Drosophila melanogaster: one gene and its partners. The gene in region 2 interacts genetically with the main gene of each other region. Each region holds a gene or a part of one and is shown on either strand. Other genes may lie near its edges.

Evidence for each region.
Region 1: of otu (region 2) and ct, changing one enhances a phenotype caused by changing the other (phenotypic enhancement), as found in Drosophila melanogaster (one study listed by BioGRID).
Region 3: of otu (region 2) and enc, changing one suppresses a phenotype caused by changing the other (phenotypic suppression), as found in Drosophila melanogaster (one study listed by BioGRID).
Region 4: of otu (region 2) and Sxl, changing one suppresses a phenotype caused by changing the other (phenotypic suppression), as found in Drosophila melanogaster (one study listed by BioGRID).

Annotation. Positions count from the first base shown.
Region 1 is NC_004354.4:7,607,151-7,612,481, reverse strand, and holds the start of ct (cut), read right to left. Parts: upstream 3,335-5,331; 5' UTR 3,067-3,334; coding exon 2,944-3,066; intron 1-2,943. UniProt on the Drosophila melanogaster protein: Regulator of cell fate decisions in multiple lineages. Specifically, functions as a determination factor that specifies sensory organ identity in precursor cells. Probably also involved in cell type specification of Malpighian tubules.
Region 2 is NC_004354.4:8,484,265-8,491,615, forward strand, and holds otu (ovarian tumor), read right to left. Parts: upstream 5,272-7,351; 5' UTR 5,110-5,271; exon of another isoform or gene 5,084-5,109; intron 4,859-5,083; exon of another isoform or gene 4,680-4,858; intron 4,589-4,679; 5' UTR 4,568-4,588; coding exon 4,340-4,567; intron 4,278-4,339; coding exon 4,180-4,277; intron 4,111-4,179; coding exon 3,956-4,110; intron 3,899-3,955; coding exon 3,503-3,898; intron 3,450-3,502; coding exon 3,313-3,449; intron 3,119-3,312; coding exon 2,993-3,118; intron 2,730-2,992; coding exon 1,485-2,729; intron 1,417-1,484; coding exon 1,240-1,416; 3' UTR 744-1,239; downstream 1-743. UniProt on the Drosophila melanogaster protein: Catalytic component of a deubiquitinase complex consisting of bam and otu. The complex deubiquitinates K63-linked polyubiquitinated proteins; this antagonizes the ubiquitination activity of Traf6 and regulates the IMD immune signaling pathway.
Region 3 is NT_037436.4:3,816,714-3,822,025, forward strand, and holds the start of enc (encore), read left to right. Parts: upstream 1-1,965; 5' UTR 1,966-2,204; coding exon of another isoform or gene 2,205-2,207; intron 2,208-5,312. Other genes in the region: Scsalpha1 (Succinyl-coenzyme A synthetase alpha subunit 1), read left to right, coding at 1-367, 724-1,008, 1,071-1,286. UniProt on the Drosophila melanogaster protein: Required for the regulation of germline mitosis, karyosome formation, and establishment of dorsoventral (DS) polarity of the egg and embryo. Involved in proper grk mRNA localization and translation in the oocyte.
Region 4 is NC_004354.4:7,094,767-7,100,140, forward strand, and holds the start of Sxl (Sex lethal), read right to left. Parts: upstream 3,288-5,374; 5' UTR 3,235-3,287; exon of another isoform or gene 3,179-3,234; intron 3,003-3,178; exon of another isoform or gene 2,858-3,002; intron 2,301-2,857; exon of another isoform or gene 2,232-2,300; intron 2,170-2,231; exon of another isoform or gene 2,049-2,169; intron 1-2,048. Other genes in the region: CG4615 (uncharacterized protein), read right to left, coding at 4,608-4,889, 4,961-5,180, 5,243-5,374. UniProt on the Drosophila melanogaster protein: Sex determination switch protein, which controls sexual development and dosage compensation in females. Sxl protein is only active in females: it is inactive in males throughout development.

The DNA of each region.
Region 1 (5,331 bases), 880 kb from region 2:
TAACCCCTTTTTCAAACACCCCCCCCCCCCCATTCATCCACGTTTCGGTTTCTGTGACTCATTAGCTGGCTTCTCTGCCAGAGAGCGAGTAAATTGCACTTAAAACGCTAAAAATTATACGACACACGCCGCCGCTCAGTCCACCGATCTGATCTCTATCTGTATACTGTATCTGGCAATATGGTATCTATGGTTTGGTATAGCATGGTATGATATCGTATATGTGTACAAGGTATCCGTGTGCTTCCAAGGGCTTAAGGGACAACCCTTGGCTGCTCATTTTCGGCATATGCAAATGCCGGGACGCCATCTTTGAAAATTAAACTTTATAAACTATCAATGCTCGTCCCCGGTATTCCGCATTTCGTATTTTATATCCGTATCTGCATCTGTGATGGTGCTATGGTGGTGGTGACTACCCTATAAACCGGTTTCAATTCGATTAAAACGGAACCCAAACTCGATTTACTCTCATCTTTTCAATTCAACTTTTCTATTTTTTTTTTTTTAATATTTTTTAAGTCAGCAAATGCATTTGGCAATTAGTTCGGTTTTGTTGTCTTTCCATTTCCATCTTTTTTTTTTCTAGTTTGAATCAGCACAAATCAATGACAAAAACCTCATCTTTCATCTAGTTTTCGGTTTATGGTTTTTCGGATTTCGGTAATTGTAGAAGCTAAACAAAAAATCTGTTCGATGTTAATGGGTCAAGTTTATAGATTGCATTACGGAAATTAATTTTGCTCTTTTTAACTTTTGGTTCTTCTTTGGCTTCTGCTTTTTGTTCTTGCACTTGTTTTTTTTTTCAATTTTTTGTGATCGTTTTTTCGGTGCCACCGTTCTATATATTTAATGACAAAACTTTGTGTTAATCAAGCACATTTTTATTGTTGCTTTTTCGAATTCGATTTGTGTCAATTTTTTCGCGCGCGCTCTGTTCTTGAAATGTAAATAAATAAATAAGTGAAATACTATAAAAATTGTTTTATCAACTCATTTGGACAGCTGTAGACGTCTGTCTGCGGTTTGTTTAATTTATTTAATAAGCTTCTATTTTTGGTTGGCAAATTTAGTTATGTTGAATAACCTTTTTTTCTGCCGCAGAGAAATGGTATTTATGGATCGAGTTCTAATTTTGTTTTGTTGATCAGCATGCGAAGGCATGACGAAACCTTTCAAATATTGATTCATTGATCACAATCGATCATTGGTTGAGGGATCTTGAAAGTTATAGAAGACTTGAAGCTTTTGAAAGCCATTAAATGATCGTTAGGAAAGAGGAAAAAAGAACCCAAAACAGTGGCGCCTTTAGATGGGGTTTTGTGTTTTCGTTTAGGCCGCCAACACTATGCTCTATCACTATGTACATATCTAACATTTAAATATAACAAGCAAATGCATTTAATTAAATAAAAACCGGTTCTATTTGAGATCAGCAAAGCCCCATTCATAAAATCCTGTGTACACCACTGACTTCAAGTAATCCTAACGAGTTCTGCGGCTTCTCATCTTTTTGCCTTTGTTGTGGTTCTCCGGAAAAAGTCGATAGGATAGCTTTTGGTTTTGCTTATTTAAGTTTTATTGATTGCAGTTTGCATCGCCATATCTTGTACAAAAATATTTGTGGAGCGGGAAAAAACGCCATTCACCGACGGCAAATGTCTAGATTTTCCGGGAATTTTTCCATGTCTGTCTTTCACTGTGCGCGTCTCTCGCTTTTCACGATCAATCGAAGAAGAAACTCCAATTAAAAAATTTGCCCGGCTGTCGACGCAACCTAATTAACTTGCCAAACCATATAGAGAGTATTTTTATATATAGAAATATTCAAAAATATATACAGCAGTTGATATTTCCATGTCTGGTCTGGCAGATGATTTTCTTTTCCCCTTTTTGGCCTCTAATGTTATTTTGCCGCCTTATTTGTTCGGAGTCTGGCATTTGGCCAGCGAAATTCTCAGCATCGTCTGGCCCCCGCCTCCCGATTTTCCACGCCCCCTTTTACAGCGAAACCCCCATCTGAATTGTCTCTTCCGTCTGGCCGATCTTGTCTGGCTTTATCTTTTTCGGTTCACTGGTAGTAGAAAACAGAAAAAAAAACGCTTCAAAAAAAAAAAAAGTTATTCAAGCAATAAACTGTTCACTTATTACTTGCTTGTTGCACTTTGCATTTGTTGTTTTTGTTTTGTGCAAACAAATTTTTTTTCAGAAATCAATAATAGCAGAAAAAATAAATAAATTTACAACAAGAAATTAGACAACAATAACGGGCCAGCAACAATAAAAACACATTTGCCATAGACACGCAAACTCAATTAGTTAACTTAAGTTAAGTTAAGCAGTTTGCGGGGCCAAAATATGGGGGCTGTGTGGGGTTAAAGTGGGCGGCTGGGCGCACTAGGGTTATTGTTGTCAGCTGTGGGAGTTTCCAGTGAAATGCAACGAATATCACAGAACTCGGGAACTATTCACTGTTTAGTTACAATGATAATTGCAAATTTGTATATGACTTTTTAGTCTAATCAATGTATGGAAAGTTCTAATTTTAGCTTATAACGTTTTAAAGGCTTTCGGGCTTTTCGCGTTACGCTCCCTAAACTTTTCACTTTGAATACACAATACTGTATGAATCGAATTCATTTCATTCATATAAAGTTAGAAAACGCAAGTATCAAATTTTATGCTACATATAACAGGTGTAATTTCATCTTTTTGTTGACAAAAATAAGATACACCTTGCATGTAATATAAACGTAAGACTGTTTGTCAATGCGAATAAAAGTGAGAACAGAAGATAAAACACTTTTGCACCGAACATTTTACGAACCCGTAATCTCAGCTTGTTTGGCCAATTCATTGAACTATATTCATATTATTATTCTTGAAACACGAAACTTCTTGCTTTTAAGCACCGTTTTCCATCGTTTTGCTAACTTTTCTTACCTGTTGCCAAAACTGTGCCAATAAATAAATTTGCTCCTTTTTGAAAAACCAATCGTTGATTGATTGAACAGCCGTCAGATCCATATCGGCTGTCCCAGCGGCTTGTGGCAATGTTGGCTGCATTCGTGGGCTTTCTTGGGTTAATTCAATAATTCTCAGTCAGTTTTTGCTTAGGTTTTTTTGGGGTTTTCAGTTTTTGGATTCTACCAATTTGGGGCTAATAAGGCCTGGCATTATTCTGTTCTGTTGTCGTTTCGATTTTACTTGTTAGTTAGTTGTTATTTAATTCGGTTTTCGTTTTTAGTCATCACATTTACACCTTAAGTAGTATGTTTCTTGTTACGTGCTCAAAAAAATGCATAAATAAGCCAATTTCTGTGTGTTATTATTATTATTATTATGGTTATGTTATGTTTTATATTTTGTTCACTTTAGTTCCGAAAAAGAATTTTTTTTGATTTTTTTGGAAGGGGGTTTCTTCTTGTTGTTGTGTGGGGGATTTTGTTGTAGTCGTTTGTTGAATGGTGAGGGTATGATGTTGTTGTTTTGGTTGTTGCCTGTTGTTGTTGTGTGTGTGATTTTTTCAAGCCATTATCATTATGTTGTTGCTTTTTGGCTGTGGCTTATTTTGCACATGTTTGCTGTCGCTGTTGTTGCTTTTGATGTTGCTGTTGTTGTTTACACTTGACACTCATACACGCGCACATATTTTAGCGAACAAAAATGCACTTGAAAAAAATAATAAACAGTTATATTATACGTTCGTTTAGTCCTTTTTGATTTGTTTGGCTGTGTGCTGTTTTGTTTATAAATATGATCAATACGTTTCTTCTTCTTGGCAAGCGAGATTCATTCTTTTGCAATTATTTTTTTATGAATTTTTTGTATGAAGTGGGTGGGGGGATTCTTCTGCACACACACACACACGACGTACACACACAGTGAGAGAGAGGGGCACACACGCACACACACCCGCGCCGCGGCTAAGAAGAAGAAGCTGCACTGCCTTGTGGGGCAGTAGAATCCAAAAATCTTCTGAAATTCTCGATTTCTTTCGGCGACGGACGAACGAAACGACGTTGCCAGTCACGAATGCTGTTGATGACTGAACAAATCGAACGTTAACGAAGCGCCGACAACCCTCTGCCGCAGAGAGCGCCGACAGCGGCGTTGGCAGCGACAGAGGCGCCACAAACACACAACACACTCATGCAGCGCAACTCTCTCGCTCGCTCTCTCACGCTCCGCGCAAGAGAATCTCACTCAATTCCCGTGCACTGCTTTTGATTTCTTTCAATAGCTTTTTGATTTTCTCACTTTTTTTGCGCTTTCCTTCTCGGCTTTTTTTTTTACTCTTATTTTTGAGCATTTTTCTGCGCCGTCGCATGTCAGTTGCATGTATTGAAATTCATTCATTCACAGACACTTTGGCTAGTGCCCTCCCGCTCGCACATCGCTTTTCTTATTGGAAACGAAAGAGCCAGGCGCTCGCCTCTCTCCACTACTGCTTGTTGTTGTTGCTTATTGAGCGCAGGATTGAGTGCAACGTCGACTGTGACGCTGGCGGAGGGATTGAGATTGAGGATATTTCGGAAAGTTGTAATATTTTTTGGCTTTAGGGGGATTTACCTGGAATTCAAGTATTATTCTGAAACTGATAAGTTTTAAAGTTAAGAACTAAAGAACTAAAAGTTCCACGAGATAAGTCTTAGAATTAAAAGCAGCTGCTATATTCATCAAATGTTCGAACATAGTAAACAATAGTAGAAAGTGATGGAAATAAAAAAGTAAATACGAAGTGTAAATTAAGCTAAATGCAACAAACAATTCTATGTTTTGTTGTTTAATTTAATTTTTATGTTTTTTTTTAGAGGTAAATGTAACATTTAGAAACAATCTGTCCTTTCCAAATTTCCGCCACTTTATGATGCACCTTAAATTGCATTCCTAACTTAAGTCCCTTGGCTGGCTGTCTCTGTTCGGCTCTTCAAAAATCCATGGAATATTAAATTGGAGAGTAAGCCCCTTCTCAGCCTCCCGTTATTTTGTGTTTTTCCGCAAACCCCTGGAATTTGCAGTCCCGTTGCGGGATTTTCGCATAAAGAAAAGTTCAAATTGTATCGAAGCGCCAAGTGCAATGCAGACGCCCCCGACCCCCTTGGTATTCTCACTCCCTATTTTTCTACTAAACCCCATGATTTCTGCTGGGCGGGGAGGGGCGATGTGGTTGGGATTTTCCAAGGGGTTATGGCTTACACCTAAACTGAGACTGAGAACCCAAGTCGCAGTCGCAGATGCGTTGCTGCAGTCTGAGAGGAAAATCGGTTGAAAAGCGGTTAGGATTTGGGTGGAAAATTGTTGGTAAATGGGGTGTACGGGGAATATTGG
Region 2 (7,351 bases):
AAACAAACCATACAGGTACGTTGGTGAATTGAAATATTAAACTTATGTACAAAGATTTCTGTGATACCATCGTATTATTAGCTTCCAAGTTCTTTAGTACTTTAGCATATTTTGTAATTTTTGTTTAAGATACTTATTTTCATAATTTATTCCAACTAGCCCTTATCTAAACGGACAACGGAAACCAGTATGGAGGCGTTGCACTCCTTAACTCAACTTATCTTCAGCATTCTGGATGGTTTTAACATGGGTTAGTTTTAGCAGGATAATGTTGACAGCTCAAAACATTTTCAATGTACTACATACTAAAGTAATCGTGATTGATTGAACTAATGAACCTTATAAATTTTCTAATATCTAATTTTCTTAGTTGTAAATACTTTTTGTTGTTTTTTTTTTCTTAGTTAGTATGCACTAATTTGATGTAATATGCTACAATATAAACCCATGCATTAAAAAACTATCTGCTTATCAAAAATAACAGCGTTTTCTAAAACTAACATAGACAAACAAATTATGACACAAATAAAGACAGTACATACAATAATAACAAACTTTTACAATGAAACTAAAGGATTACATCAGAGTTCTTTATCGTTTCGAAGATCAGCGTCGATGTGATGTGACGAGGTGAATCAAAGTAATCCAAGCCAATCCACACCTTTTGTTTGCTATCTGAAATCGCGCCGAAACACGAGAATACCACGTAATTGCAGCACCTGCAAAAGTCTTTTGTACATTTTGTCTCTTGCGCTGCAGTTGAATCTTGTTTTATTTATGGTTAATTTTTGATGGTACACTTTACATAGGTGAGTCTCTAGCCGAACAGCGAGCACATAAATATATATATATATATATATGTATATATATAGTAGATAGTATGTAGATATTTTTGGTTAGAAGGGTTTTAAATAAATCATATAAATAGGTGGTTCTTTGATTTCGTGACGGCTAACTTTAAAAAAATTCGCATAAAATTACGTTAAATTACATTTTTAAAATGAAGTTGGGTTGACATTTGCGTTAGGTTATGCAATCGATTGTTGTACAGAAGCTGAATGGTTTATGATAGAGCGCCAACGCTTATGGCCTATAAAAAGTTAACTACAAATTTAAAAGTGAGATTAAATTTTAAAAGCCGTTAATTGCAATGGAATGTAATGCCTTCGATCTGTATGGCCTCTCTCTTTCAAGTGATCTGTTTTTTGCCCCCGCTCCCTTTTTTTTTTCTTTCTTTGTTTAGTGATGACGCGTTGCAGCATAGACAGCTGCCGGCTGAGATTGGACAGATAAGGGAGCTGGTTGCAAGGTGGCTGGCTGCTGTTGTTGTGGCTGAGCCGACGGGTCCATGTTATAGTTGTTGATCACCTCATAGGGGGACACCACCGGAGCTGGCATGCCCCAGGCGTAGGGAGTCTAAAAATGGTCGAGTGTCGATTGCCTATAGAATATTTTGAATTTGTTAGTGCATGTATCACTCCTACCTGTCCTTGAGCTGCTCCCCCTAGCTGTGGTGGTCCCGCCTTGTGGTAGAATATCGGTGGCGGTGGCGGCGGTTGGAGCAACCTCGGCGGTGTTATCAGGTGATGATGCGGCGATGGAGTAGTATAGAAACTAAACTGACTGCCATTCGAGCTTGGCGATGGCGTTGGAGTGGGCAAAAATGCCGCTGGCCCCAGCGAATCCTTAATATCTTGCAGCTGCTCCGGACGTTTGCCGCGCACCTTAACCGAATTCAAATTGCGCTTGGCGTAGGCACTTTTCTCAAGCGGTGACTGCTCTGTGGCATTTGCCACCTCTGGCGAAGGTGGTGGTGTTGACTCCACGGCAGTCAAATTGTCCTCTGTGGCGCCAATGACTACAGTCCGTCCTGCCTGTTGATCAGTGTTGTTCTGCTGATGGTATCCAAACATTCCTAGTTCATCAGGCGGCGTGTGGTGCGACATGCGCCAATGCAAATCCACGCCCATGTTGTAGAAGTATCTCAAAGTCACCATATCCACGGGCAAATCTTCACCGTTTGGGTGTAGAGAACGACGTGGCTCGCCAATTCCGGTAACATTTAGCGGTGGAGAAGGAAGCGGCATAAATGGATGCGGTCCCGATAAAGCAACAGCTCCCGGTGGTGGTGGACCATAACCACCGAATGGCATGTATACACAACCTTCGGTTGGCGGTGGATGCGGGGTTCCTGAAATGGGGAACGGAAACTCCTCGGCAATAGCCATCGGAGATGCAGGCCAAGGTGGCGGTAAATGCCCAGGACGACTCGGTATCATTGGCACGTAATTCATATACTGAGTGGGTGGCGGGGCAGCCGAACCCGAAACCTCCTGGTTTTGGCTGGAACTCGAGTTCTGCGGCTGAACCCTTGATGCCTTCGTGCGCTGGTGTTGCTTCTGTGCCTGCGGTTCTTCACGATCCCGCTGCTCCGTAGTCGGGTTCTGGTCATTTTGTTCAGGATCATTATGATCCCGCTGCTCATCGTCCTGAATGTGCACACCCTGATAGCAATTGTCCACGGGCATGTAGGGCATCAAATCACACTTGCTGTGCTCAAAATACTGGTCCATTTCGAACAGCTTGTTCTTCTTCCATTTGGAAGACTTGTTGGCCTTACCGGCATACTTGGGCAACGGCAAGCGAGGCATCTGGCGATGATAGCGGAATGGCAACGACCATGGGCGGTACTCATCTGGCGGCAGGGGATGGAGCGATTCATACGGGACCTAAGCCAACAGATATGTTTGTATATTAGTAAGCTCTCTATTAAAGCGAAATAGTTACAATTAGCTTCGGATACCGAACATTTTTAGCCCTTGCAGATCAATTATTTTATAGACTTATATACCAGTTCATTGGGCCACAATTAATATACTTTTAACTAAACTTTAACAAATTTAACTAATTGTTAAATATGATAATCGTTTCTAATCGAAATTTTTGCATTTCTCTGCAAGGGTCTAGAAAATCAGATAAAAAGAAGAGGTACCACTATCTCTTTGCCAATCCTCTCAACAAAGACGTGGCAGTAATTCTTATCTTTGGAGATATTTTGAACGTGGCACGTGTACATCTCCGTTTCGTTCGGCAATTCCACCTTGCACTTGGCGCCCACCTGGAAAACAAATAACACGGCGACGAGACGAGGAAGGATAAGGCAAGACATACATGTATAGTAAAGTATAAGGTGTATCCAGTGTATAGATGAAAATGAAAGGGTGTTAATTTGGATGGGTGGTTGACATGAAACGTGTGTTGGTGTGCGTGTGTATGTGTGCTAACGATAATCCAATGTTCTGCACAGTTTACCTTAAAGTTATAGTCATTTATGTAGACATTATAAAGCTTGGCCTCCTTGCGCATATCGTTCCAGCAATCAAATTCTATATTACGATACATATAGGGGTCCATGGACTTGGCCACTTTGTAGGGAAACGGAGAGATACCTAAAAAGAGAGTATTATGTAAGCATTTGATGTTTGAAACCACCTCTACTGACCATCATCTAGCAGCTGGCGGACACAGGACTCCAATCGGTTTGGACACATGGGCAACAGATCGTTTGGTTCGTGGCCACTGCTGCCGGATGCCTTTCGCTCCTCCTGGTTTTTAATCTCCAGCCGGCCTCCCTTTCGAGCATTAATGCTCTGATTTCCATTGGTGCTATGGAAATTGCACAGCTTATAGTTTTCCAGTATGCAGTTTGTGTCCCCTGGCAGATCAAGCTTAAAAACTCGTCCATCGGTGCAATGAATGCGAACCATATAGCCCTTGTCATCGAACTCCACATTGAAGCGATCCCAATTGAAGGTGTGTGGATGCAACATAATCTCCACAGCAAAGGATACGTCAGGCAATTTGAAAAGCTTCTGGTACAGCAACTTAAAGGCGATTGCTGAAAGCAACGTACATATACAAAAAGCAAAATTGGATATATTAATAGGCTACGTACATTGACAAATGGCGGCTCTTTCTATATATTCAACGTCATAAACCGAATCAAAGTGATTCTCATTGTTGAAGAAGACACGGAAGTTTTCCGCATAGCGACGATTAAAAACGACGCTGGTGCCCATGTTGTAGGGCTCATACAGGATAACATTGCGGCTGGAAGTCGTACAGAAATCATATATATTTGTAGAATTTAATAGAAAATAGTAACTAAGGATTAATTACCGATATAGGCAGGACATAGCGCGTAGTTCTGTCATGGTTCCATATGTCTTGGGCTTGGACATGTCCTGCATGTAGCTATCGAAATCGCCAGGAATTTCCTGGGATATAAATAAAATTATTTCTTTTTTTTTTACAAAATGTGTGATTGTTAGAGGCCTACCTTCTCAAAGATGCGTCGTTTTAGGGTCATGAAGCGGACGCACTCTAGCCGAATCTCGTAGTGCAGCATCTGGGTGTCGTACATCTGCTCGGCGATCACACGGAACAAACTGGAGGCGTCCCGGGCCGTGTGCTTACGGTAGAGTCCACGGCTCTCCAGATACTGATCATACGGATCCGGGGCCTGCCGGCTGCCTGACGTAATGGGGCGCTGCACTTGCATGTCCATGGCGACTCTGGAATCGAGAAACTTAAATTTTATTCATTTCATTTTTTTTTTGTCATGTTTTCCCTTTGAAATACAAGTATTGCACAATTAACAGTTAGAAGAGGGCCCTGACCTCGATCTATTTGACCTTCACAATCACTTTTCAACTGCTATCTATTGTCGTTTCACTAAGAAGTGCGCATACTAAGCTTTATTACTTATTTTATGTTAACTATTGTATAGTTTTTTTAACTTTAATAGTTTTAAAGCAAATTTGCTGCAATACAAATATATTCCAATTATTAACCGACTCCATACAAGCCGGGCTTCAGAGCGAGATGACAATATGCACCTGCGAATTCAAGATGGCGCAGTAGAAAGGCAAATGAAGCAAAAGAGCAAAATTAAATGTGATGAAGCTGATGAAAATTAAATATTTGTTTAAAATTTAATGATTTAAAAGCCTCTCATGCTGCGCTTAATTAGTTAATTTCGTCACTTGACAAATTACCGTTACTATAAATGTTTCAACTAATACAGTTAAAATCGAATCGAGATATTACCGGTGTTCTGCTGTTCGTCTTCTGTTGTACAAATTCTATTTTTATAAATAGTTAACAATTAAATTAACAATTAAAAATAACACTGGCATCCGCACCTAGCACCGTTACACGAAGAATTGAAGCGAATGGCGCGATCTAGCCTTTCAGAGAACCCGCGAACTAGAATGCGAACGAAAAGTATAAGAACGAACTTCCAGTGCCTGGAAGGATGCCGACAAACGAAATTGGGCAATAGTGATGTGCGGAAATGAATCAATGGAGTTGGTTCGTGATTTTATCAACAAAATAAATATATCTGATCTTGTTGAATACTTTCTAAATGAAATACACAAGTGTATGATATACTTGAAATATATTGCTGAGCGGTTAAAAAACTCCTGTTATCGCCGTCTATCGATGACACCGATAGCGGCATCATCTGTTCCGTGTCATCCCCAAAAGTTTCTGTTACCTTCAAATTGTTCTTGTTACTGTCGTTGCTGTTGTTGCTGGCCCGCTTTTTAGGGGGTGGAAAATGCCGCTTTCCACACGGCGCACTGTTGTTCTTGTTCATCAGACTCAGTTCGAAATTGCGAGTCAATGAAGCCAGGAGCAAACTTTCAGTTCGCGCTGTTACCGCGACAAAAGTTGTCTGGAAGAGATGTGAGTGTGTGACTGTGTGTGCCTTTTGTTTTCCTGTTTTTTTTTTGTGTTTTTTGTGTTCTCGTGTAAAGTTATGTTTTTGTTTATTGTTAGTAAATGTCGTTAGTTGGTTATCTTGCGAGTGTGCAAAACGCAACGACTATGAATTCTATTTCCTCTCGGTGTTTCATCAACTTTACGCCATGTTCATCTGTTTCGTTTTCCTCCTCCTTCCATCGAATAATAATAACAAAGAGTTTTACATATGAAAATCACAGTCATTAACAAAAACAACACACGTGGACTCAACCACACACAACAATGGACATTTGTACATGCGATACACACATGCAAATAAACAACGTTATGAAATTGGAAGGAGTGCACAAAAGGAAGAAGTAGAAATGTGCGGTTATTTCATATCCAAGCAATGCCGTAAAAATCAATAGGAGCGACAAACAAAGCACGTGCTTGTGCGAGTGCGATGGCAAATCGATAAACCGTTAATCAAGTTTGTTGAACGCGTGTTCGCCCCGTCTCTCTCTCGCCTTGTTTGCGCCACCTCTCTTTCCCACACACGGCCCAACGAAATAATATTTCTTTGATTCCTTTTCGTTAATTCCACGATTTTCGATTAACTGGGTCAAATGGTGACATAGATATGATGTTCTTTTTTTTTGGGTGGTATTTCATTTTCCAGGTGCCGAGGTCAATGTCACGGACATTTCTGCAATGCCGTCTGCTGACCTTCGAACTTTGGTTCGTTTTTGTCAGCAATTAATTGATTAAATGATTCGGCCAATATATTGTCGGTCGTCTTATCAATATACCGATTATACAACTATCCTGTTCCCGCAACTATCTTATCACCAAAAACAAAATAAAGAAAATACAAAAATATAGGTCTCTTGAACCGGACTCGTCGGGCTCCCAGATAAGTGCTCCATTAGCTCCATCTCGCTTGCTCGCGGTTCTTGACATGTGTCCCTCAAACACGAATTAACGACTTAAACTCTTCATGTGATAAAAATCGACGTTCCTGTTTTCGAAAAACCATCACTTTGTTTTCCAAAATATAAAGGTCTTTAAAGCTTTATATCTGATATTGCATGGTATTTTATAACATCTAAATGTTGTTTTTATAAGTGGTTTCAAAATCTTGTGCTGTGTGATAATATTATATTAACGTAATTTCACAAATATGCGAAATGAAATGTTTGATGGTGTAGAAATACAAACAATACCAACCATCTTTGAAATAGCACAGTGAGTTTCTGAATTTGGGAACATCTCGAAAGTTGTCTTCTCTGCTTTTGTTGTTTTTTTTTTCTGATGCGATTGTTTGCCGGTCGGCGGCTAAGAATTTCCGTTTGCTGCTTTTAGTTGCCTTCGAACATTTTAGCTCGTCGCGTCTTTGCTGAAATAAAAAGGGGAAGTAAGAGGTAAAGCATACAGTCCAAACAAAACAAAGAGAATTTCGCTTGCCAAGAGAATCCGAAGCAACATTTGCCAAATAAAAAAGTGAATTGTGCATGAGAAATATCTTCTTTTTTTTTGTTTGGCTGCCACGAACCGGTTATTTTATTAGCTTCACTCTAGCGAACCGCACACAGTCGTGGAC
Region 3 (5,312 bases), on a different chromosome or scaffold from region 2:
GATCTGCCAGGGATTCACCGGCAAACAGGGCACGTTCCACAGCCAACAGGCTCTGGAGTACGGCACCAAGTTGGTCGGCGGCATTTCCCCCAAGAAGGGAGGCACCCAGCATCTGGGACTGCCCGTCTTCGCTTCGGTGGCGGAGGCCAAGAAGGCCACCGATCCACATGCCACCGTCATCTATGTGCCACCACCGGGCGCTGCGGCCGCCATCATCGAGGCTCTGGAAGCGGAGATCCCCCTGATCGTTTGCATTACGGAGGGTGTGCCGCAGCACGACATGGTGAAGGTGAAGCACGCCCTCATCAGCCAGAGCAAGTCGCGATTGGTGGGTCCCAACTGCCCGGGAATCATCGCCCCCGAACAGGTTCGTACATCTCCAGCGCTTGAGAGATAAGCTTGGCCAGAGGGCAAAGTCCACGTTCATCTGGTGGTTTTCTTATCTCTTGGTATGACGCTCGCTTTGAACTACATATATCTGTTTACTATTCCGTTTTCAATTTGCTTATTGTTAATGTATAAACAGGCCTCCATTGACACACCCTTAAATTTGGGCATTGAACTTTGCACCTGAAGTTGGTGGAATTTGCGGACGATACGTTTTTTATTACCATTTATAACGCTTATCTTTCTATGCGTCACAAAACTTAGTGATTACCCACTTCACTCCACTTTCAGTTAAGTCAATTGTATAATCTTAAACTATGTTTTTTCTGATTGCAGTGCAAGATCGGCATCATGCCGGGTCACATTCACAAGCGCGGCAAGATCGGCGTGGTCTCGCGCTCGGGAACCTTGACCTACGAGGCCGTGCACCAGACCACGGAGGTGGGTCTGGGCCAGACCCTGTGCGTGGGCATTGGAGGCGATCCGTTCAACGGAACCGACTTCATCGACTGCCTGGAGGTCTTCCTCAAGGATCCCGAGACCAAGGGCATCATCCTGATCGGCGAGATCGGAGGCGTTGCCGAGGAGAAGGCTGCCGACTACCTGACCGAGTACAATTCGGTATGAGAAGCCATCACGGATCAATGTATTTCATTGCTAAATGTTTTTGTATCCTATTGCAGGGCATCAAGGCCAAGCCTGTCGTCTCGTTCATTGCCGGAGTGTCGGCGCCACCCGGCCGTCGCATGGGTCACGCTGGAGCCATCATTTCCGGAGGAAAGGGAGGTGCCAACGACAAGATCGCCGCCCTGGAGAAGGCCGGCGTCATTGTGACCAGGAGTCCTGCCAAAATGGGCCACGAGCTCTTCAAGGAGATGAAGCGTCTGGAGTTAGTGTAAATAATTAAAGGCCATAACCAAACCGGAATCCGTACGCCGATCAAAGCGTATACGCAAACTCATGATGATGAACCTAACGTTAAGCTAAAAGTGTCGAAAATCGAAATTGCATTCGAGCGAACCCAAATAAATTATTGTGAAAAATTACTAGAGAGAAACGAGAGGCGTTGAATTGTGACATGTATTCCAAGAATTAAGTTAACTACTGCCGTACCACCAAGTTGAACTAAAATAACTCGCACCAAAACCAAGATTTCTAATTGTTATTGCACTCGGCTCATTGTTTGTGTTGCGAACAGATTTTTGCCTTAATTTTAAATGCCTGCTCGAATTATCAATGCGAATTGTATCTGAATGTGTAATAAATATGCATAAAAACAGGATAGATGTGGTGAATTTTCGTGGTTTTAGCTATACAAGCCATATCCTTTGAAAATATGAATTTTCAGGTCAATTTATTTAATCTAAACTAAAATTCTTTGGAGAAGAATTAACAAAACAATAATTTATGAAAAGCAATGCTTACCATATTAAAAAAAGATTTAAGGAAATTTAAAAAAATGTAGTTTTCTACTTTCGATATTTAATGGGATCGACTTGCAAACATCAAGAGCACACATCGATAGAGCGGAAGTTTCGATTAACTCGTGAAATATCTGGCAACATTAATATCGAACTGCCATCGCTTTTTGTGCCAGCTCTAATAAACATATATATGTTTTAGGGCCGCGATTGAAAATGCGTGCCACAAAGGCCTAAACAAACTTGGAAAACACCGCGAAAAACGTCAGAAGCTATAGTGCCGATTCGCATATTGTTCGCCACCCCGGAAAAGTGTGAAAATCGCAGATAATCAAAAGGGAGAGCAACCAAAGGAAAAGCAACAACAACGACTCGCCATGGGCAGCAGAACTGAAAATGGTGAGTTTCTAAGAAAATGTCCCTAAATTTCGTTAGCACTGTCCCTTTTCTCGCAAAGCGTGTTGGAAATGATGTGAACATAATAATATTAGTGCGCTTATTATTACTATTGCAACATTTTCGGTTTTTGCAGCCGCCGGTTGCGGTTGCATTTTAAAGTGCACTACATACGCACACACACACATGTGCACATACAAATTTATCACCTCGCATGTATGTATGTATGTGACGGAGTAGTGCATGCCTTTTAGTAGGGCTGCCGGGAAGGCCCCGTTATCTGATTCCGGGTATGTCTAATTGGAGTTGTTAGTTGGAATTTTCGTTCGCCGAGGAACTTTATTGAAAAAAAGTTGTAGCATGGCTAATACCAGGAGTTCATGGCCTTGACGCTCGCAATACATAGTGCTGCATTGAAAATAATAAATTATGGGATTGTTGGTAGCAGATTGGTAGCTTAATTGCTCACATAATTCTTCGATTTAATATTATGCCAATGCTTCCGTACTTTTAATATAATATATATTCAATATCCTACTTTAAAAAAATATTATTATGAAACGAGAAATATAGCTAGAAGTATTATTCTTTATTATTCTTTAGTTTTAAGTTTTTAAAATGTTGATCCGAAATATCAGGTTGAGTTAAAAGTAATGTAAATGTAAAATATATTTTACAAACAGCACGTCATTATTACTTCGGATATGAAAAACCACTTAAGGATGCGTCCTATCTATATATTATGTAGATTTTTGTGTATAAGCTTTAGGATAAATAGTTTTGAAAACTGTTGCTGCTGCTGCAGATCGATTACAAAACGCCGAAAAATGTGCGTTCCAGTTCGCTAGGAACCCTCAACTTCTGGTGACATATCGCATTCTTGCAAACATTTTTGTAAGTTTTCTTCCTCTTCGCGTTTGCTCGATTTATAGAGAATGCTTTTGTTTGTGTTTAAAATAGATTCGAAATGGCTCTTTGGCCTGCGTCCGCCATTGTCGGCGTTTTCGAGTGGGTTTTATTGAAAATCTATTTTGCGAATTATCCGACCAGCCCGGCTATATCCCCCCTCCCTCCACTTCCCTGGGCCTTTCTCACATTTGTCTCCAATTCTCTTACATCGCTGGCGTCGCAATAATGTCGTCAGTTTTTTGTTTATTCGCTCTCCCAAACACCGAAACACGCAAAAAATAGTTCTTATTTTTGTTAAATCCACACAAATTTTCTTGAGTGAAAGTGAAGATTTTATCTTATTAGTGATTGTAGCTTCTATCAAAAAGTGTGAGTTTAGGAAAGTTTGGGTTTTGAATATCTGGACTCATTGGTCTTTCAATGCAAGTGTCCACTGTACTTTATAATACAATTTATACTAAAAACGTCGCTGTTTTGTTTTCGTCTGTTTATTGTTTTATTTGGATACTCGCATCTAATGATTCCACCGATGATGACCGATTTTCGGTCGATGATGCCGTGATGAGGATGATGTATCTTTGCTGATGCTCTAAACGAAATGTCGTCGTTGTCACACAATGTTGTAGTTGTTTCCTTAGTGGCTGCTGCTACTTAGTTAGTCGATTGTGATGCGCTCGGATTCGCTTCGGCCTTCCGTTTCGCACTCATTACACAAACAAAAAAAGATTGAACACAAGTCTTACTGCAAAAACTCGCGAAACCGAAGCATTTTTCATGCGAGAATGTCGAGAATTTGTGTAAATTAATTTATTGCCTTCGCTCATGCCACTTTCTATATCGGATGGCATTTTATTTGCATTTTTTGAAACACATTCTGGCAGGCGTACATCTTTTGATTTCGCATTTCGATATTTCAGCAGGCAAACTCCTGTTAGTAGAATTTTTATTGAGTTAAAAAAAATGTAACTTGTAATTTAAAGCAAAATTTTTATAGTCCACATAATTGAATATTGAAAAACATTGGTTGTTTTCTACCTTTCCAAAGAGCTCATCTGATGCCTTGAATAAATCAGGAAAAATAAATATACTCGTGCCCACAAGCGTTTTATGTTTTGAAGGTAAAATTAAAAAAATTATTTTTTTTATATATATACACTGGGAATAATTAATATTTGGCTGATTACTTGTCAACGAAGATGCGCTGTACTTTATTTAGTCTGCTGCTTATGAATAATCGCCTGTGATAAGAGCAGACACATCACATCGGTTACGCCAGTTTTGTTTTTGATTTTGATTTGGCTCAAAGAGCCCCATCAGTTCCACACACCTGCCCCACCGCTGTCCTCTGTAGATTCCGCAGACAAAGTTGCGATGCCAAGCAAATTCTATTCCCGTAGAAGCGAAGGAGGTGACTGGGTGGTGGCTTTAGGTCCGTGCAGATGCTTTTTGCATATTTCATAATTCCCGCAGATGGCCTGAGCGCGGGGAAAGCCGAAGACAACAATCAAATGGCCCCAAATGTCGGCTCCCAGGTGCCCCTTTTCGTATGCAACGGGCATGTCTCATATGCCAAATGAATGAATGATTGAGGAGACTGAAAGTCTAGCTCTCTTCTCCTACTCCTATTAATATTTTCCCTTAAGCTATGAGCACCATTTAGCCGTTTACAGGACATCTGCTAGTCAGGATTCTCTGTTCGCCAGCTGTGCTTAGCTCGGCTTTTTCTGCGCTCTGCCGCAGAACTCAATGGCTGCTTAACGTGGCCTTAAAAGTTTTGGCCGTCTGTCACGAAAAAACCAAAGCAGAAACGATAGCTGACAAAAGTTTAAAGATTTTAAGATATTTAGCTGCTTGATAGTAGACATTTAGATGTGTAAAATTGTTTACGTTACCAGTATAATTACTATTGGAACTAAATGGAAATGTTAGTCGTCATATCGCCGAATAAAATCTGTCATAATCAGGGTTTTAGCAAGAGCCTTTTTGGTTGGGGGCGCGCTTGAATGAAGACTTCTTTGGCTGGCCTCTTCCATCTGTCTGTCTGGGTCAAGTGAGTGGAGGCGATGGTAGCCTTGCCCGCCTTCCACCAGCTTTCTTGGCCAGGCGTTTGTTGTTAACACCTTTCATGGCCGTCAGGACACGAGACATGGCATGGCCCAGTCATTGTCACAGGCAAATTAATTAAAGGACCCCCTCTGG
Region 4 (5,374 bases), 1.4 Mb from region 2:
AGAAATGAAAGAAAATTCAAACATAAGTAATAGAGTACCAAAGACCCATAGACTTTCCATATGCAGATGGGTGAAAGCTAAATCACCATGAAATCAAAAACCAAAATAAAAGAAAGTCCATCACGGACAAAACTTTTGGGGAAAATGCATATCACAATGCGTGGTAATAATATATCCAATGTATCATATTAAAAAATTGAAAACAAATAGTTCAAAATTATTTCTAAATATTACGATAAAATGTTAATATATATGACTTTTTTAGCTGTTTAATAATTCAAAGCAGCAAATAATATTGCAATGATACACAACAGAAAAAAATATTACATAACAATAATAAAAAAAAAACAATGCAGGCTTTCATTGATTTCATTGACACCATTTAGCAGACATTTTTCGGCAGTGTACGAGGGAAAGAGATGGAGAAAGCGCCAGCGAATTGTAAAGCAATAACAAAATGCGAGAAAAACTTTACAGTTTGATAACAGTAGTCTGCTAATTTGGAGCACAGTTGTGTAAATAGAGCAGCACTATTATGCAGTGCTTGAGTGAATGTGTGTTCTAAACAGCTGATAAAAGCCCATTTAAGTACATGAGCTAATGTATACATATATACATATAGAAGATGCATGTACACATCTGTGCATCTAACAATCGCTCAGCTGGGAAAATGAGTCATGTACCCGCATGCATGAATGGATCTCGGTCTGGAAACAAAATCACAGCGGCATTGCCAGACACAATCAACGATCCATCGAACATTCCAGCTGATCGTCCGCTTGGATTGTTATTATACTGTTGTTATTTCAAGTGTATCCAAATGCGCATGTATGTACATATGTATGCATGTATGCTTTTTAAAACATTGAGCGAGCTTAAAAAGTACAGTGAACACTTGACATTGCGGAACCGAAACATATATACTTTCAAGGACGTATTCAACTTCATTTAACTCAGTATTATCTGCCATAAAAACATCGAAATAAGAACATTCAACGCTACAAAATATACTCTTAAATAACGACGCTAAGTAGTTGCATTATCTAGAGACCACTGTTGGGAAGCTTTTATTAACTGAAGACCAAATAAGGTTTAAAACGGGGTGCAACGCTCATGGGAATTGTGTAACGTGCAATTTGCGCAAGGGAATGACCTCAATGGAATGCAGAAATGTGAATTAAGAGTGTTGGTGGAGGTGGGGGTAGTACTAGCTACCGCCATTTCCAATATTTCCAATACGCTTTAAGCGAAGGGAACGATCGTTGCGATGCGACGTCATTGCCAACAGCAAGAAGGGGAATGACCCACCGAGAAGCGGAGATGAAGAGAAAAGGAAATAAATGCAGCTGCCCTCTCCTCACCACTCCACTCCTCTCCCACCAGCCAGCTGCAACTTGAAAAACAAAAAATACGGCAGCTGAGCGTACGATAGAGACAACAACGGAGGGCGAAGCGAACATCTTCCCTTGCGCTCACTACCTGCCTGGAAATATCCAGGATCCCTGATCTTCAATGGAAAAGGGAGGGCCATAAACCGAAAGGCGCGTGTCGCTAATGAGGATCTTTAAAATAATGTTTCGCCAACTAAAGCTATATAAACACTCAACGAAGAAATTACAATTATTTTAATTGCAGAAGCTCTGGGAAACTCCAAAATATGTCATATCTTAACCAGGGACACATGTGTAAGTGAAGTGTACGCCAAAACACGTTGCCTTCGATGATAACAGCTGGCAATGCCGTCGACGTAGGGCGGTCGCCACAGTCGACCACCAAAAAATAGGTACATATCTACTTATTAAAAGCAATCACAAAATACTCCAATTTATGCGCAGCAAGAAACACATGGTGGCATAGTTGGTGAAACAGGAAGTAATATGTATACAGGATATGCGTAAATGTAGGTAGTCGATTTGCAGCGGAACTAAAGGAAGTGAAAAAGGGACACGCGATAAACACTCAGGTAAAGCGAAATCTATTCCAGAATTTTCGGCCCTTCACAACTGGACGCGACTGTATGCATGTGTGTTGTTGTCTTTTTCGCCTACCTTTCGTTATATGTTCTTACTGCCCTTGGGTTTCTCTTGTTGTTTCTTTGCCCCAAAAAGCTGTTTGTATACGAACAAAACCACTTACCCAGCGGCTTAGTTATTATTATTTAGTTAGAGACTAAAATGGAAAAAAAGAATTAAGCACTCACACACACGCTGCTGTTTTTATGTACAACTTACTGTTTATGTGTATGTGCATATGATTTTTGGGCGATGCTTGCATGTTGCTATGTACTACACAACTGTAACGGAAACGAAAAAAAAAAGAAAAAACAAAGTGTAAGCCAGGCGCGTGAATCGCCTTGCAAGTGTGTGCGCGTGTGTTTATGCGTTTGCGGGCATATACACACTCGCACGCTCTCTCACGTAGGCGCAACACACACATATGTATATACATGCGAATGACGAAGCCGCAAGCACAGAAAAAAAAATTAGTACATGAAGTAACAACGAGTGGACGGGAGAGAGAGAGAGAAGGAGTGGGAGAGCGAGCAAAAACGGCTTTGCTTTTGCTTTGCTGTTGTTGGTAGTGGTGGGAAATGCTGAATGGAATTTTACAACATGTTTTCGGCTCGTCAATCGCTTTTGCACTCTTCTTTCAGCTCAATAACTTCACAAAAAACCGTATACAGCAAAAAATAAGAAACAAAAAACAGCGAGTATCTGTATACTGCTCTTTACTCGCTCTATTCAGATGTACATATGTATGTATTTGAGGCCAACAGCAAAAAAAATAACATGTATAACTTGAAAAAAGAAAAGAAAAACTCCAAAAATGCTTGGTTTTTTTGTAATTGTACTACTACAATTGCGATATGATCTATGCGCATTTTCACAATGTCTGCGTGTTTTCCACTATCGTTTCCTCTCCACTTTTCTCTTTTTGCGTGTTCTTTTAATTTCGCTTCGTTATATACACTTCACGTCACGCTAGAAACCCTGTGCATGTATGTATATATATATATCTATATGCATATATATGTACATGCTGCAGTGTCTGTGTGTGTATTGTTTTTTCGATGGGGATTTATTTCTTCTCACACACTTATTCTGTAGCTACACGGATTGCATGGGGCACACAAAACAGCTTCTTTGTCATGATTTTTAAAACGTTTTAACTTATTCACTTGGATCGTGTGTTTGATTTACGTGGCGAGTGTCAGGAGGAGCAAAGAAAAATTACCAGAAAAAAATTCACTGCGCGACTTTCCTTCTTCGGCAACAACAAAGCAGTGTGCACGTTTCGCGGTTGTCGGTCAATTTAAGCTATTTGGGTGGCTTTACGGTGGCTAAACGCGTTTTCGTTATTTTTCTAGGCACTCGGCTGGTCACACTGTTCATTTTCTACACCGCGTTAGTTAAGACTCACTCCATTTAGCGAATACACGAACCCATTTAGCCAAGTTTCACACCTTCGCTTGATTCGTAACGGTCACATAAAATTCAAATATGGGAATTCAAATCAAGCTTGAAATTTTCATTTAAAGAAAAGAAAATAACGAATTAAAATTAGATACAATTTTATGTCTTTTGAGCCCCGTTAGATTTCGTTCATTTAAATATTTAGAATTCTACACAAACAAAAAAAAATTTTCAATAAAATAATATATATATATTTGCAACCAAAAAAAGAATATATGTATATTCATATATTTAAAGCTAAACAAGATGTATGAATAAGCTAAACAAGATACATGCATAACATTGTAAAACGAACAATTATATTTGAGCACGCAACAAACATCTGAGCCCTTTGCTTTCATTTGGAAATATACAATTTATTAGAGCCATTAAAACTAATCGATCTGCACCATAAATACGAGTAGTACACGAAAGCTATATCCGCCGATCGCGAGCCAGGCCCCGAAAATATCAAGATATCAAGCGTATTTGTAAATAGTCACCTTCTTCAGTATCTGCGAACACATCGATTTGTCCCTGAGCTCGGCGATGAAACTGGCCGAAGGGGCTGGACTCGCGGATCGGATGGCCTCTTAATTCTATCTACTTGTGTATATGGGTATATATGGGTATATAATATATCTGTATAATCTGTATAAACATGCATAATGCAATGCGGGATAGGCGGGCTTCTAGTGTTCAAAAGGTTCAGGTCGTTAACTCTCGGATATTTGTACAAGTTTAATATTCGTGTCCTTTGCCTTTTGAGTACGGTTCAAAGTCTTTTGAGAAACACATGGCCAAAACGGGTCGTTATGGATACTAAATATATGAATATCGCTAATAATATCAAGTTAAAGTTGAGAGGGAGAGGGAGAGATGAGCACTCGCACAATTTGAATCTTTGGCAAGACCGCACATACTGATCACAAGAATCGTTTCGATTTAGTTAGTTCGTAATGCTACAACTAGACTACAAGCTAGGCGTCCTCGCTCGCTTAAAATTTGGCTAATTGTGGAGCAGAGACTCGGGTACATCGGGTATATCATAGGAATACGTTACACATGGCTGACAACATCGAATCCCTGTCGTTAAGTACTCTAAGTTCTAAATTCGCTGCATGTTACCACAACTGCTTTGTGGCGCTCGTTTGTTCACGGTGCTGCGGCTCCCTCGCTTGGATATAGATTCACCAGGATGGCGTAATAGTGACATCCGGCGGCCAGCACCACAAACAGATGCCAAATGGCATGGGCCATGGGTATCGTGCCGTCCGCCTTGAAGAATACAATGCCCAGAATGTAGAAGCCGCCGCCGAACTTGAGCTGCATCATACCGTGGAAGTGGTGGCCAGTGAACACAACGACTAGAGCGGGTCCCAGGCCCATCACCAGATAGAAGAACGTCTCCAGACACTTGTAGCGCTCGTGGAAGACCTGTTTTCGCCAAACAAAAGGAAATTTCACCTTAAGGAGCATGTGAACACGGGTGCTGTAAATGAACCCACCTGCTGGTAGGCAATTCCTATGCCCGCCATCAGCCAGATGACCCATTCCATGCAGAAGAGTATGGCCGAATGATCGGTGTTCTCTAGCGTGAGCCAGGGGAAGTACGATCCGGCGATGAACACATAGATCATCGCCCTGTCGCAGCGATGGAGCACGTTCTTGAGCCCCTGATACGTCTGCCAGCCGAGACAGGGCCAGGCCTTGACATTCTTCGGTGGTCTAGTGGAGGTATACAAAAATGTACAAATCAAATGGTTAAATCAGCCTGTGTGCGCACTCACTTGTGCTCGGCGCAATAGCAGGAGCAGTGGAAGAAGGTGGACACCGTGAAGAGCATGCACAGGGCTCCGCCGTAGACCCAAGCAACCAGATACTGGCTGGCGCTGGAGGAGCGTTCAAACAGCTTGATGGCC